Coturnix japonica: one gene and its partners. The main gene of each other region encodes a partner of the protein of the gene in region 3 in a complex. Links are inferred from orthologs where the notes say so. Each region holds a gene or a part of one and is shown on either strand. Other genes may lie near its edges.

Region 1 (4,859 bases), on a different chromosome or scaffold from region 3:
CACATTAGTGCTCTTGTAATATAGGCCAGTTAGAACTGTGCCCAGTAATTACAGCTTCTGCTCACATGGGAAGGGTTCTTTACCTGGGAGACCATTCCAGCTCACGGGTGTCCCCACGGGGACCAACCTGCCAGCAGCAGCTGGAGGGAAGTGGAGAAACACGACTTTTCAAACAGAGGAGCACGGCCTGACTTCTGAGAGAAAAAACACTGAGCCATTAGTGTAAGATAACAAAACCTGCAGAAGAGCTGCTATAAATCCAGAAACACAGGAAAAATCAAGCGGCTCTCATTCTAACAATGGATGCTACAAAAAGACAAAGAATCAGAACAGGCAGCTGTTGTAAAACCAACATTCCACTGCTGTATCTGCTCCTTTCTGCACTGCTTCCAAGCATACAGAAGCATGTGCTGAGTTCTTCAAGCCCCACAACAGACATTCACACCATTGGTTTCCATGTCCTATGCACACTGGTTCTGTGCATTGCTCTCCTCTGAACACCTGTCAATTGTGAGCCTGTCTCATTGGCTCCAGTGGCTTTTTGGTTCTGTACACACAACCACCTCCACAAGCACATTTCCTGCACCAGGCCAGACAACTGCCAGCTTATTTTCCCTATTTTACAACCCGCTGTTGGTTCATTAGTAGTTGTGTCCTACGAATACAATTGGAAAAGTAAATGAGAAATTCTTACTCGTTACACCTCCAAGTATGTGCAGAAAAAGCACACAAAGAAAGAAACCTCAGCTTACTGAACCTGCCCGGTACGGGCTGCAGTTTCCCTCCCCTGACCCGGTCAGCTCATTTCAGAGATGAGCACCATGCTCTCCCCAACGCACAGCGAGTTTTGCTGACTTCAAATGACCAACATCACGTGTTCCTGAAGGGGATGGAAAGCTGGAACCACAGTTCCTACTTCTTGCTAAACCCAGTGGAAGGTGCTAAAATACAAAGCCTTATCTTCACTTGGTGGTTGCTCACAGGCAGCTCCAGATGTATAGGAGGCTCCTGCAATACTGTCCAATACACACAAGAACAGGAACAAACCAGGAGTCCTCCTGCAGCAGGAACAGCCCTGCTGTGCTGCTCAGCCTGCTCCTTCACATGGCAGAGCTGTGCTGAGCTGCTGCACACAAGGCACAGCCTCACCACTCTGTGAAGTGAGCCGACCCACTGGAACCCACTAGAGGAACAGCGGCCTTCCCATCAGTGCCGTATGATTTCAGCAACGCTAATTCTATCAACCTCACGCAGGTCAAACAGCTTCTTTTGGTTCTGTTAGCACAGTGATTTCTGTGCAAGCAGGAAGCGGTTACAAGAAGCCCCAACAGCTTGTCTGTAAAATGTGATCAGTCTAACACACAGCCATGAGGTAAACCTACCAATATCTAACAATTAACCACCTTTTCCTCTGTACAGAACTGAACCATTCTCAGAGCCATTACTCTTAGCTCTTCCAGAGGCACCAGGCTCACTGCACAACCATTTCCCAACAAGAATTTATGCTTTTTCTCCCTCTCCTCACCATTTATTTGATGTATGTTCATTTCTGCGACGTGAACTTAAGCTTCCACGTTTCTTTGAAGTGCTGCATCAGGTGCCCAGCAGGTTACTGCAAACACAGGCTCTCAAAATGCAGAATTTGGCTATGTACAAAAATGCCTCCATGCAATACAGAGCACCAGCAAAAACGTCCCGAGATGCTGTTCCACCTCTGTGCTCCAGCAGCAGCCACGGGTCTGCCCCGTGTGAGCACATCACTGCACTCATGGACAAGGTAAAAAGTGCTACAATCAGGAAAACAAGCCTTAATGCAGGCAAAGAAATGGCAAAGCTGTTACTCGTTTCTCTTCTAGTAGCATCAATTTATACAGTCTCTGCCTCTCTCTATGTATATGTTCTGGCTTTTTTTTAATACAAGATCACATCTAGTCGAGATGTGTGCAGTAGATGTGTACAGTACCACAAAAGCAGCTCTGGTTCTGACCTCATTTCTACTGCCTTACAGTACAACTGTGCAGCTGAAAGAAACCAACAGCGAGGAATATTAACAAAGACCCGTGAAAATAACCGAACCCATTTCCAAAATAAAAACACCGGTCGCGTAACCATCGCATCTGAATTTCCCACCCGCCGTGTTGAAGAGTGAGCAAGTCAGTGGGCGCCGCTCCGCACAGACGCGACCACCCGCTTTGTGTCCGCTCACAGCACGGCGGGGCAGGAGGCACAAGGAGCGGAGCAGCACGTGAGGGCGGCACGGAACGGAACGGAACGGCAAAGCACAGCAATGCACGACGCAGCAATGCACGGCACGGCACAGCAATGCACGACGCAGCAATGCACGGCACGGCACGGCACAGCACGGCACGGCACGGCACAGCACAGCAATACACAGCACAGTAATGCACGGCACAGCAATGCACGGCACAGCAATGCACGGCACGGCACAGCACAGCAATACACAGCACAGTAATGCACGGCACAGCAATGCACGGCACAGCAATGCACGGCACAGCAATGCACGGCACAGCAATGCACGGCACAGCAATGCACGGCACGGCACAGCACAGCAATACACAGCACAGTAATGCACGGCACAGCACGGCGCTCCGCAGCCCGTTGCCAGCCCCGCGCTGCGGTTTTCTCCCCCGTTCGGAGTTAGCTCCCTTACGAGCTGTTTTCTTCCCTTTGTCTGCACACCCGGATCCGATCCGCCGCACTCACCCCGCCATTCGCCTCCGCCTTGAAGCCCGTGCGGCCTACGGCGTGCAGGGCAGGCCCTGAGCCCTCAGCCCTCAGCCCTGATCCGGCGGGGCGCGGCGAGCGGCGCTTCCAACTTTTGTCGTGGCGGCCTCGGCGCGTCCCCGGGCACCGCGCGCACCACAACGACCCCCCACAACAACCCCCCCACTCCGCCCCGCCGCCATCGGCACCGCGGCCCGGCCGCTCACACCGGCCCGTCACCGAGAGGCCCCGCGGCACCCTGCGCCGTGTCACGTACCGGCGGAGCCCCAAACACAGCCGGGAGAGCGCGCGGCCAACGCAGGTGTCAGGTCAGCGGCCGCACCGGCACAGACACACACACACACACACACTCACACACCCCGCCTCACGCAGTCACACCCAGGCCGTGGTGCGGTGCAGGCCCTGTCCTTCTCGAGGCGCGTTTGAAGCGCAATCCCCGGCCCGAATGAAGGCGCTGCTGTCCCGGCGGGATCCCGACGCGTGTCTCTCAGGCCCGGGCGGGAGAAGGGAACGAACGCGGCAGCGCCACCGGACCCGGGCGGCGACGCTGAGGCGCCGAGACGCGCCGTCCGCTCACTTACCGGCCGCGGTTCCGCTCCACACGCCGCCGCCTGGCGAGGAGCCCCGCAGCTCGGCCCGGCAGGGACAGGCCGCGAGTCCCGCTCCGTGGCGCCGCGATCGCTGCGCGGCTGCTCCGGCCCGATCCCGCCGCGCTCTGCCCGGCTCCTTCTCCCCCGCACAAGCTTGGCGGCGTCTGCCGGCCGGCCGCTCCCATTGGCCGCCGCCTCGCGCGAGGTCGGGCGCCCTCGGCGCACCATTGGCCGCGCCTGGTGTGTGTACACACGCCGCCAGCCAATCCGAGGAGGCCGCTGCGAGAGGGGGCGGGGCGGAAGGGCGGGGCGCCTCTTCCCAGGCGGCGCCTCAGATGCGTGTGGAGCCGCGACACGGCGGGAACGGGACGGAGCGAGCGGGGCGGGGAGCGGAACGGAGTGCAGGGAAACACAGCACAGCTGGGTGTTACTGATGGACAGGGACGGCAGGGAACAGCCATCGGCACCAGAACAGGGTCCTGAGCTAAGGAGCGAGAGCCGGATGGTTATTGCCGTGGGACGGCTCACAGGCGGTTATTAATCACAGGCCCAGGAATGTGCTGACCGTGCGCTTTCTGTTCTTTATCATTCCCTACGAAACAGTCACACGTAACAAGACCTTTATCAATACCTGCAGTTACGTAAGAAGCTTAAACGAAAGCATTAATAAACCATATGCAAAATGGAGCATTCCCTCACATAGCTGCCAAGGCCCCAAGCAGCTCACAGTCAACACAGCAGGCCGTGCAACGCAGCAGGCCGTGCTGCGGGAAAGGAAGGCAGCAGAACAGAAGCCAGGCAGAGTGCCTGGTTTCCTGCAGTCCTCCTAAGTTCCATGTGCTAAACCCAGATCTGAACTCAAATACTGCCTCAATAAAAAGTCATGTGTGTCTTTAAAACTTCTTTCTAGTTCATTTGGTTATTTTTATGCAGTGCTTACAAAGTTATGTCAGATGCTGTGATTACAAGAAAAAGGCATTTAACCATTGTGGAAAGGAGATGGACGGTGACTGCTGTAGCTGGCATTGGCTTTCAGTGCCTGCAGAACGAGCTGCCTTTGTATGCACACACTGCTCAGCTTGGAGATGCTGAAATGGTCAGTTTGCAGTAAGCACCACTTGTGCATGGTTCTAAACCAACCTGTTACTCCTCAGAACTTAGACACAGCCCAAACTCAGTCTCAGAAGGAGATCCACACTGAACACTGCTGTAACAGGTTCCTTAGCTCTGCAGGGAGTCAGTGATTTCCTGCAGTAAGACCCACACTTCGGAAGCTCTGACGCTGCTCTCTGGTTGGTGGCTCAGCACAACACCGTGTTCCCCATCTGGTTGATACTTTCCAGATCATCTCCCCTTTTCCTTTTCATAACACGTTACTTTGCACTGTTTGCTCATTTCAATGCTTTGTGAGCCCACAACCCATGCTGTAATATCAACACACACCCATAACCCCCACAGCCCACATTTCTCCTGAAGAATGAGCTCAACTTGTCCGTCTCGCTGTAAAACCTCAAACTAAAATGT
Region 2 (5,140 bases), on a different chromosome or scaffold from region 3:
CTTGTCTGACATAATTTGCAGTTTGATCAGGACTTCATGTTCAGCTGGCATCAAACCATATCAGGTTGCATATATGCAGGATGACAGCTGAAATTTTGACATCACATTCACAGAGCCTTTCTATGTGAAAAATAGTTAAGAAAAGTCTTAAGCTCCAACTCTAAGCTTTCTCCAGAAGCACACATACTTCCCCCTTTCATCGAGTGATTCAAGGAAATCACAGCATCCTCTTGCACACCGATTGTGGGTATATGAGCAGAAGCCATTTCACTTACAGGATTGTGGATATCAATCCATTCTGTGGTTTTGGACTCGACAAACTTCCCATCGATGAACAGTTTAGTTGTTGGCTGTGGAGGACAGCACAGTGAGTGATCTTTCCCTGAAAGTGCACACATAACAATGTGCCCTGTTATGTGCAGGCTTTTGCTATTTCCCACTGTACTCCATCATTTTTTTCCCCTTGATTTAGGCTAAAATTGTCAAAACCCCGTCTAAAAACTATTACAGAAGATACACATTGATAGAATCATGTTCAGAACTATTTTAATCTACTCAGTCACTACAATTGCTAAGTCATAAAAACCCTGCAGTTCACAGACATATTTAAAAGAAACCAGTTAATAATTCACTTGGTAAGAATTCTGCCCATTAGTTAAGGAGTTCAGGTAAGTATGGAGAAGAAAAAGCAGGGGTAGAAGATGCAGTTAGTGCTGCAACATGCAGGAAGAACTGGGGCCATATAAGTGAAGAGATTGGAATATAGTGCCAAAGGCTTTGCTGAAGTCTAGGTAGACTGTGCCAACAGCCTTTCCCTCATCCACCGGGCAGTTCACCTGGTGAGGGCAGGGATGCTAATGCTGCTGTGATGGTGGGAGAGGGATCAAAGGACGAATCAGGAAAATAAATGGGGCTGAGCCGGACAGGTCACGGCTGCGAAGAGTGTAATGGATAAGCGAGGCCTCGGCTTGTGAAGGAACGCGGCGGTGGGTTAAAATAAGAATAAGACATGACAAGTGCTGATGTGGCTGGCGTTACGGCGGGACGAGCCGTGCCGCGGGCTGCACTCGGGATAACACCATCTTCAGAACTGAAGGGAGAGCAGGAAATCCGAGCTGCTCCTCGGCCCGGCGGAGCCACCGCCGCGGGCCCCTCCAGCCCAACAGCAAACAGAGCTGCCCGGCCCCACTCACCACGGAGGAGGAGGAGACGGCGGCCGAAGCGATCCAGGGAGCCCCGGCTGTCCGCGGCAGCTGGATGTGGACACAGAGCAGCCCGGTTACACGGTGCTCCCCTCCTCCTCCACACCCCCCACCTCCTCCCCACCGCCCCCCGAGGTGCCACCCGCGGCCCCTCCCGCAGCGCTGTGTCCGTGTGCCGCCTCACCCTGAGCACCACGCGCCGCCCGCCCCAAGCGCCACGAGCCACCGCCGCCATCCCGGCCGAGGGTCACAGCGCTCGGACCCCGAGCGGAGCCCCCAGCACAGGGACCCGCCCCCGCCCGCTCATTGGCCAGACGAGCGCCCCCCCCGCCCGCTGTACGCCCCCCCCGAGGGGGCCTTGCCGGCCGCCAGCCAATCGCTGCCAGGGAGAGCGTCGCCCCGCCCCTTTCCCGCCACCGCCCCCCCATCCGGGGCAGCGATTGGCCACGAGCACTAAGGCGCTCGGGCTCTGTTGTCACGTGGGTGGATTCCCGCGGGCTGTGGGTTTAGGTCACGTGACGCAGGCAAGATGGCGGCTCCCGGTGACGGTAAGGCGCGCGAATGGGGTCATCGTCACCCTGCGGTACGGTCTGAGCGGGCGCCGCTTCACCTCCGTTCTACTCCCTGTGCTGTAGGTGCCGATCTGGAAGCCTCTCTGCTGAGCTTCGAGAAGCTCGACCGGGCTTCTCCGGACCTGTGGCCTGAGCAGTGTGAGTGAGTGCGGCGGGCCCGTGTCGCTGGGGTGATGGCGGGGCTGCCGGGCCGGCCCCGCGCTCACCCGGCGCTGTTCGGTTCTCTCTTGCAGTGCCCGGCGTCGCCGAGTTCGCCGCCTCCTTCAAAAGCGTAAGATGCCAACACCACGGCACTGCGGGTCATACAGGCACTGCGGGAGGGACGAGCTGCGCAGGAACGCGCTGCTCTAAGCCCTGGGGGTGCTGCTCTTACTGCTGGCTTTGGCTGTGACTTGCAGTAACACCCAACTCGTCCAGGAAGAGCTTTCTAGGCATTAGAGTAGCCCTGTAGGGTGCCTGGAGCCATCGCGTTTATTCTTTCAGTGTAACTGGTTGTAAATAGGTGACGGAGCACTGGAACAGGCTGCACAGGGAGGTGGTGGAGTCTCCTTCTTTGGAGATATTCAAGACCCGCCTGGACACCTACCTGTGTGACATGGTGTAGGGAGCCTGCTTTGGCAGGGGGGTTGGACTCGATGATCTCTAGAGGTCCCTTCCAACCCCTACAATTCTGTGTGTGTAAATGCTATATCAGGCTTTGTATGCAGCTAAAAATGTACTTCTCTGAGAATGTTTTGCTTTTTTTTCTTCCTTTCTTTTTGTTCTTTTTCTTTTTCCTCCCCCCCAAACCAGCCTATTACAAGCTCGCCTCCCAAATGGATGGCTGAACTGGAGAATGATGATATCGATATGTTAAAGGGTGAGTATGGGCTCCATGGGCACTGAGGCTGTCTGCGGGTGGGAATTCAGTGCCTACTAAAAAGATGAGCTCAGAGACCTTCTGAAGCCTTGTGGAAAGGAAGGGATGGGGGATGCTCCTCTTAATCTGCAGACCATCTTAACCTGCAGAACATCTCCAGTTGAATGATTCTGCTTAGGAGTCTTTGTCTTGTCAATTGCCTCTATCTTTAGTTGGTCCCACAAGAATATATACTGATAACAAAAATGCTGTTGTTCTCCTTGTTACTGCTTTTTGAAGCAGTAAATCCCTGCTGTTTATTTTTTCTTCATTTTTTTTGATTGCTTTGGAACAGTTAGAATGTCTTGCTGGTTATTATGAGTTGTGAGAGCTGAAGAACATATGCTGTACACTGTAAACCGATACTGTTCAAAGTATAACTTGAATGCTCTGTGAAGCGATAAACATAAGCTGCCACTAGAGGGCTACAGTGTTAAAAATCACGCTTTTTCCTTTTAGAGCTGGGAAGCCTCACTACAGCCAACCTGATGGAAAAGGTTCGTGGCCTGCAGAATTTGGCATATCAGCTGGGACTGGATGAATGTGAGTTCTGTGCACAGATGTGATGACTGTATTATGAATCTTGCCACTGAAGTGTGTGTTTATGTTGCACTTACAGTCAGAAAAGTACGTTTGCTGAAGTGGGGAATGTCACACAATTATGACAGTGCAATAGAGAATTTTCTGAAGAAAAAAAGAGTGCTGCTCTAAGCAAGTCTATCATGGATGCAGTGGAGCCTAATAGAGCACATTTAAAAGAATTTCTTATTTTAGGTCTTGTTTTCTGTTTTGAATGCTAAGGTCCAGTGTTTTCTAGTGGCCCATCAATTTCTGACTTAACTTTGGCTTAGGTAAATCACTCAGTTTGCTTCATTTACCGCTTAGGTGCTAACACTCTGTCACAGAGTATCTGTGCCACCACTTCTGTGACTGTGCGTTTGTGTACTGCCTACAGAGTGAAAATGTAACTGGTGTGCAGGATTCTGTTAGCCATTAGTGCTCTTGTAACTTTGGGCTTCTGCAGTTATTTATTTTCCATAGTCAGCTATAGCAGGAGGTGCTGTCACTGCATTCTAAAGTTGACCTTCATCCTGCTTACCAACAACCAATTTATGTCAGTGCCTTTTTTGAAGGGGGGTGGGGGTGGGAGTGGGGGTGGGGATGGGGGGAAGATGCGTTTTTTTTATTGTCATTGCATATAGGATTTTGTTGTTAATGTGCTGATCCGGCTTTGAAGATTCCAAAGGGATTGTGCTTCCTTTAAACAGTATCTGTGTGTACTGATGCATTTAACTTTTACTGCTTTATTTTGCTCTGTCTTAGACTTCAGTTTTAGCAAACTCTTGAGCTTTACATGAGGCTTTGAAAATTTTTAGGCTCAAAGATTTTTTTCAGCTTTATTTCAGTGGGTAACAAAAAGCAGTTGAACTTTGAAGTCTCGTGATTGTGAGCCTGGAATACATATTTCTTATCAATAGATCATTAAGCCTGTTTGAACACTCTCTCCATAGGTAGAAATTTACTTTCAGTGCCAACATCTACAAGGATTGAATAAAGCTTTTAGTGGAGTAGAAGTTATACTTTAACAATGGAAATCTTAATCAAATAATAAGATTGGCTGGTGGTTTGCTTTCTCGATTTATATAACGTCTCACTGTATTTGCAATTTATTTTCACCAAAGTCTATCTCTGTAACACATTGAGTGCTTTGTGTGTCATGACGTATACATGTATGTTAGGAAATCTTCCATATATAATTAAATGCTGAGTTTGACATGGGCTCTCAGCACTGTTTCTTCCAATACTGTCTTTTTCTCTTTGCAGACCTAGGTTATTAAGAGAACAAGAAGAAAAATCCCAAAGATCTGCTCATTAATATTAAAGAGCTTGTGCTTTTGTTTCAGTGGTATATAATTTGATTACATCTTTTTGTATTGAAACACAGTATTCTATATTTTACATAGTTGATAATCAAAACTGCTTATCAAAAACAGAATTAAGAAACCTTGCTGACCACCCTCCTCTAGATGGCATCATGAAGCTTCTGATAGAGGTCTTGATACTTTTAATTTTGTGCAGTTTGTCCTGATTTGTCTCAAGAGTTATTTTGACGCTTCTTGTGTTCTAAATTTGCACTGTCCTTTTGACACTATTTTCTTGTTTCCTCTGTATTGTGTGAAAACATTTCTGCTTTATTGTGTCAGTGTTTTATTTTTATTACTTTCCAGTGCCCGCTTCTACATTTCAATTCCTTTGGATTTTTAAAGGCTTCTGTTTTTGTCTGAATAACTGATAATAATGCTGTTCTGGACCACGATGATCCATCATAAATATACCTATTTAATGACTTTGTAATTATGTTGTGAGATCTGTTGTTGAACTAATTCATAGCACCCTTCATGTTAATTTTGTATTATGATTCATTGGGCTAAAGGAAGTGTGGGACTGGTACCTCTTAAAATTACATT
Region 3 (4,398 bases):
CCTGATGCTAGGCCTAGGTTTCCTCGCTTGTTTAAGTTTGTGCTGTCCAGCATGAATCACTGACGTGTAAGTTTGAGTGTTGTTTCCATGAAGCATTTCCCTGTGCTTCCTATTTGAAAGGCTTTGTTTATTAAGGCTGTGAAGCAGGGATTTCTCCAGTAGATGGAGTGTGACCTACGTGGAGCTGCAATCGTTACCTGGTTTCCCGCCCCGCTGACTCTTACCCAGTGGGTCAGTGCGTACAATGCACTGATTTCTTGCTTCACTGTTTCTGTCTTCCAAGCTGTGATTTGTATCTGTAACGCTGAGGAGATACCGAAGGCAGGAGACCACTTAAAAACTCAAGCTGACAGTGAATTCTTCAGTATCCATGTGTTTGTTGTAGGGTTTATGGAGGTGGAACATGAGTAGATCTTTTCAGACTAGTGATCCTTTCCTTATTGTTTTTTATTTTTAAATAAAGATTCACAAATGTGGTACAAAAAGATGATCTTAACAGCTTTTGCTTTAAACTTACATCTTCTCTTGGCATGATTTATGTCTGCATCCTGGTATACGGCCTGGAAATTCAACCAAAGTCTGTTCCTTTGATATAGTGATTATGAAGTTGCTACTAGAGGCAGGTCTTACGTTAATGAGAGCTTCATGTGAGGATATGTAATGATCGTGGAGAAAACTACAAGTAGTTAGAATAAATTAGAGTTGTCTGTTTCCAACTTCTTCACCCTCTTGTTCTCAGCAGTGAAGAAGATGATGACTTTCAATACGCAGATCATGACTATGAAGTCTCACAGCAAAGAAGCTTGAAGAAGATATGTAACAGGGTGAAATGGACACGTGATGAGGTGATTTTTGTTTTTATTTTTATTTTTTTTAATGCATTTCCTTACTATTTTATGTTGGTCAAGTATTGAAATGTGTTTTTCTTTAGTATTGGGGTAGCTTGTAATACTTATTGGCTGAGATTGTCTTAACAGGATGAGAAGCTAAAGAAGCTGGTGGAACAAAATGGTACGGACGATTGGGCTTTCATCGCTAGTCATCTACAAGTAAGTTGAAATTTCGTTTCACTTAAGTTCCTTCTGATTTTTTCTACTTTGATCTTATGTTTTAGTTTGGAATTGAGATGAAACAAACCAGAAAGCCTACTGTATATGTTTATGTATATGTAAAGGATGCTTGTAATGTGGGCTTGAATTCTTGCTCAGACTTCAGGAAACTTGGGGCTCAGGTGGACCTGAATGATGAACTGAAATGACTTTAAGTCATCAATTTAAAAAAGTATATGCATTTTTTCATTTGAATCCACACTTGGTATTTGCTTTTGTTATAGAACGTATTCTGATTTTACATGGGTTGTTTCCCTTGTGGTGATTGCATCTACAGTTCACTATTTGCTTGTGAAGCGGGTAGGAAAGTGGATTGCACCTGAAAGATTGTTTCAAAGGAGCAGGATTGATTCCCTAGCACTTTAAGAAATGGTATTTGTATGTTTCTGTTTTTATTTTTCATTGCTGTTGTTACAGGGACATCAGCTTCCCTATTAAATGTAGATCTCTCCACTCAGTGATATCTTTGGTTGCTACTAATGGAACCTTAGCACATTTCTTGAAAGTTTACTATTATAATTTTTTTAATGTTCTGTTCTGGCAGACAACTGGAATGAGTGAAGGTGCTGTCAATTCAATTGCTAAATGACTCATCAGCTGTATGAGCTGCAGTGGTAGAAAAAGCTTGCAACAAAACAAACGATGGTTCTTTCTGTTCTGATTAAATGTTGTGGAAAAATATAAAAACATGGTTAGAATTTATGAAGGCTGAAATCACTACCAACAAGTGGTACAGAGTATTTGGATGTTAGAAATCTAAAAATTAAAACTCTGTTTCTGGTTCCTGTAATACTGAGTGGGATGATATGGTTGAAGACAAATGCTTCTTGAGACAGGCAGCTGTTGTTCAGCTGTGCGCAAGTGAGGTTGATAAAAGATTCCTCAGCTATCGTGGGAAACATACACAGAGGATCTGACTGCCCATGATTGAGGCTGGATCGGCTGGTCTGAGCCCCCTGCTCAAGCACAGTCATATGGGGCAAGTCCTGGGCAGCCAGCCCTGATTGACTGTATCCAGTCAGGTCTTAAATATCTCCATGGATAGAGACTCTACAGCCTCTCCAGGCAACCTGTTGCTGTATTCAAATTACAAAGCCAAATAATAGGGATTGGCTCGAGTAGCACTTTGTTACTGACGCTCTTTTGCTAGGAAGACCAACTGAATTACCAGCGTATTTTTAGAACTGTTTCATTTTTGGTCTGGGCACAAATAAACCTTCCTTTCTATTCTGCCCAAAAAAAGAACGCTGAAAGGTGACTCTCAAGGGGGAGAAAATGCAGCCTGTGTTTGTTCTCCCTCAATTTACTGTGGCTAAAGTGGATGACCTGAAATGACTTTGTTTTATCTCACCTTGTTTTATCTCTTACTTCTCTACTCCAAATGTCATGATTTCAGAAACTGAAGGTAAGAATATTACAAGGCTCCAGCTTCAAAATTTTTCTCCCACTGAAAATGGGAACAACTGGCATCTACTGGAAGTCTATATTTTACAGCTCATCTTTGCTGGCTAATTATGTGTTTATAATAATTAATTCCAGCGCGCTTTTAAACCCACAATGTCTATTTGTGATTAACTTGAAATTATGATGGTAATTTTAGATATAATGGTGCCTTTTGTGGTCTTGCAAACTGCCTCTTGTTTAACTTTTTGTTAGCATGGTAATGCTTTGAAATCAGTACTTGCTATCCAGCAGCTTGCACTGAAGACAGCAAATTACTGTGTCCTGACATCAGGAAAGGCATGCTACTTCGCTGTACTGGATCAAGGTCTCATCTGTATATTTGTAGGGATCTGGCCAATCTCCTGGTAATCCCAATTTCTCGTCCAGGTGCTTTGTAGGAGGTGAAGTGAAAGCTTCTCTTTCATAACCGGGAACAATATTTCAAAAGATCTTTAGTGAAGCTACAGAAAAGCACCATCTGTCCTGATCAGAAAAAGCCATGTTGTTTAATTAGTGTTAGCTAAACTTGATATAAACCTCTTTTCCTTAGAGCTGTAGTGAAAAACTGAGAATGCATACATTTGAGGCTTAGGAAAATATTTTGTTGAAAGAAAAAGTATTTCTTTGATCAATAGTCTATATGTGGAAAGAAACATTAATGTCAAAAGCATGTAAATTGCTTAAAGGTCAGAAAAGGTGGGGAGTAATGAGGATGAAATAACAAAGTTCTTCCTTAGAGGCAATTAAGTTGTTAACTCAATGATCAAATAAGACCATTGTAATCAGATTAGAATTTTGTGTAAAGTTGCTTTTTTATTCTTTTTTTTTTCCAGAAGTGTTCTTGCAAGGAAGAAATAATAGGGGAGAACTTTAAAAATAAAACTTAAATTTAATAGTGTACCAACTGCATTGGTCTTTTATTTCAGAATCGTTCAGATTTTCAGTGCCAGCATCGATGGCAGAAGGTACTAAACCCAGAATTGATTAAGGGTCCTTGGACTAAAGAAGAAGATCAGAGGGTAATGAAAACTAATTGATACTGTACTCCTTTACTGTAATAAAGCTAACATATGGCTGCTAGGAGTGACTACCTCTTTCTTAGGCTTCAACCCCACATGTGATGTCTCATACATTGTGTGACATACAGAATTACATTGCACTACACTGTTTGTGAGGGAAAAAAAAATGAAGCTGCTCTTAATCAGATGGAGTGTCTGGTATACTAAAGTGTTTTGTTCAGATTGCTGTGCAGAAGTGATCTCTTTATGGCATCAAAGGTCTCATTTACAACTTCTGTTTCTGAAACCCACCAAACTTAAAGGGACTGGGGCTGAGAGAAATTATTTCATGCTCTGCTATTAAAGAAGCTAATAAAAGCTCATTGGTTTCCTTTTCCACACTTCTGTTAATCTACTACACTGCAGCTTCTCGCCTGCAAAACCCAGACTCCCCGTAGGGAGATGCACTTTCAGCTTTCACATACTGTATTTTAAATTGACTGCTTATTCCCACTGTTTAAAACTAGTATTTGTCAAATTCTGAATATGACCTGCCTAACCCATCACTTAACAGTTTTCATCAGTCTTTTAAAGAAAAATTTCAAAGGTAATTTAAAACCAAACAACACAACCTAAAGACTATAGGAAGGGGTTGGGGAGTAAGATTTTATTTTATTTTTTAAACTGTCTACTTCCTTAGGCCTTATGTCTTATCAAATTGACTATTACAATCCTTTTCTAAAATGGGACTTCTTTTCGGGGGTGGAGGGGTAGGAAAAGTTAGGATCTGAAGTTATAACACACTTCCATCTGTGTTCCAGGTTATTGAATTAGTTCAAAAGTATGGT

What was found. The genes of interacting proteins can lie anywhere in the genome.
Region 1: MYBL1 (region 3) and TFDP2 share a complex: the UniProt entries of both Homo sapiens proteins name them as parts of the DREAM complex. The link is inferred for Coturnix japonica from reciprocal best matches to the Homo sapiens genes MYBL1 and TFDP2.
Region 2: MYBL1 (region 3) and LIN52 share a complex: the UniProt entries of both Homo sapiens proteins name them as parts of the DREAM complex. The link is inferred for Coturnix japonica from reciprocal best matches to the Homo sapiens genes MYBL1 and LIN52.

What each region holds. Positions count from the first base shown.
Region 1 is NC_029524.1:8,785,053-8,789,911, forward strand, and holds the start of TFDP2 (transcription factor Dp-2), read right to left. Parts: upstream 3,502-4,859; 5' UTR 3,327-3,501; intron 170-3,326; exon of another isoform or gene 84-169; intron 1-83. UniProt on the Homo sapiens protein: Can stimulate E2F-dependent transcription.
Region 2 is NC_029520.1:34,236,615-34,241,754, forward strand, and holds the start of LIN52 (protein lin-52 homolog), read left to right. Parts: upstream 1-1,639; 5' UTR 1,640-1,731; coding exon 1,732-1,750; intron 1,751-1,837; coding exon 1,838-1,912; intron 1,913-2,007; coding exon 2,008-2,045; intron 2,046-2,566; coding exon 2,567-2,633; intron 2,634-3,131; coding exon 3,132-3,215; intron 3,216-4,496; coding exon of another isoform or gene 4,497-4,510; exon of another isoform or gene 4,511-5,027; intron 5,028-5,140. Other genes in the region: ALDH6A1 (methylmalonate-semialdehyde dehydrogenase [acylating], mitochondrial), read right to left, coding at 276-350, 1,194-1,253, 1,387-1,437.
Region 3 is NC_029517.1:104,292,792-104,297,189, reverse strand, and holds part of MYBL1 (myb-related protein A), read left to right. Parts: intron 1-739; coding exon 740-845; intron 846-977; coding exon 978-1,049; intron 1,050-3,478; coding exon 3,479-3,571; intron 3,572-4,371; coding exon 4,372-4,398. UniProt on the Homo sapiens protein: Transcription factor that specifically recognizes the sequence 5'-YAAC[GT]G-3'.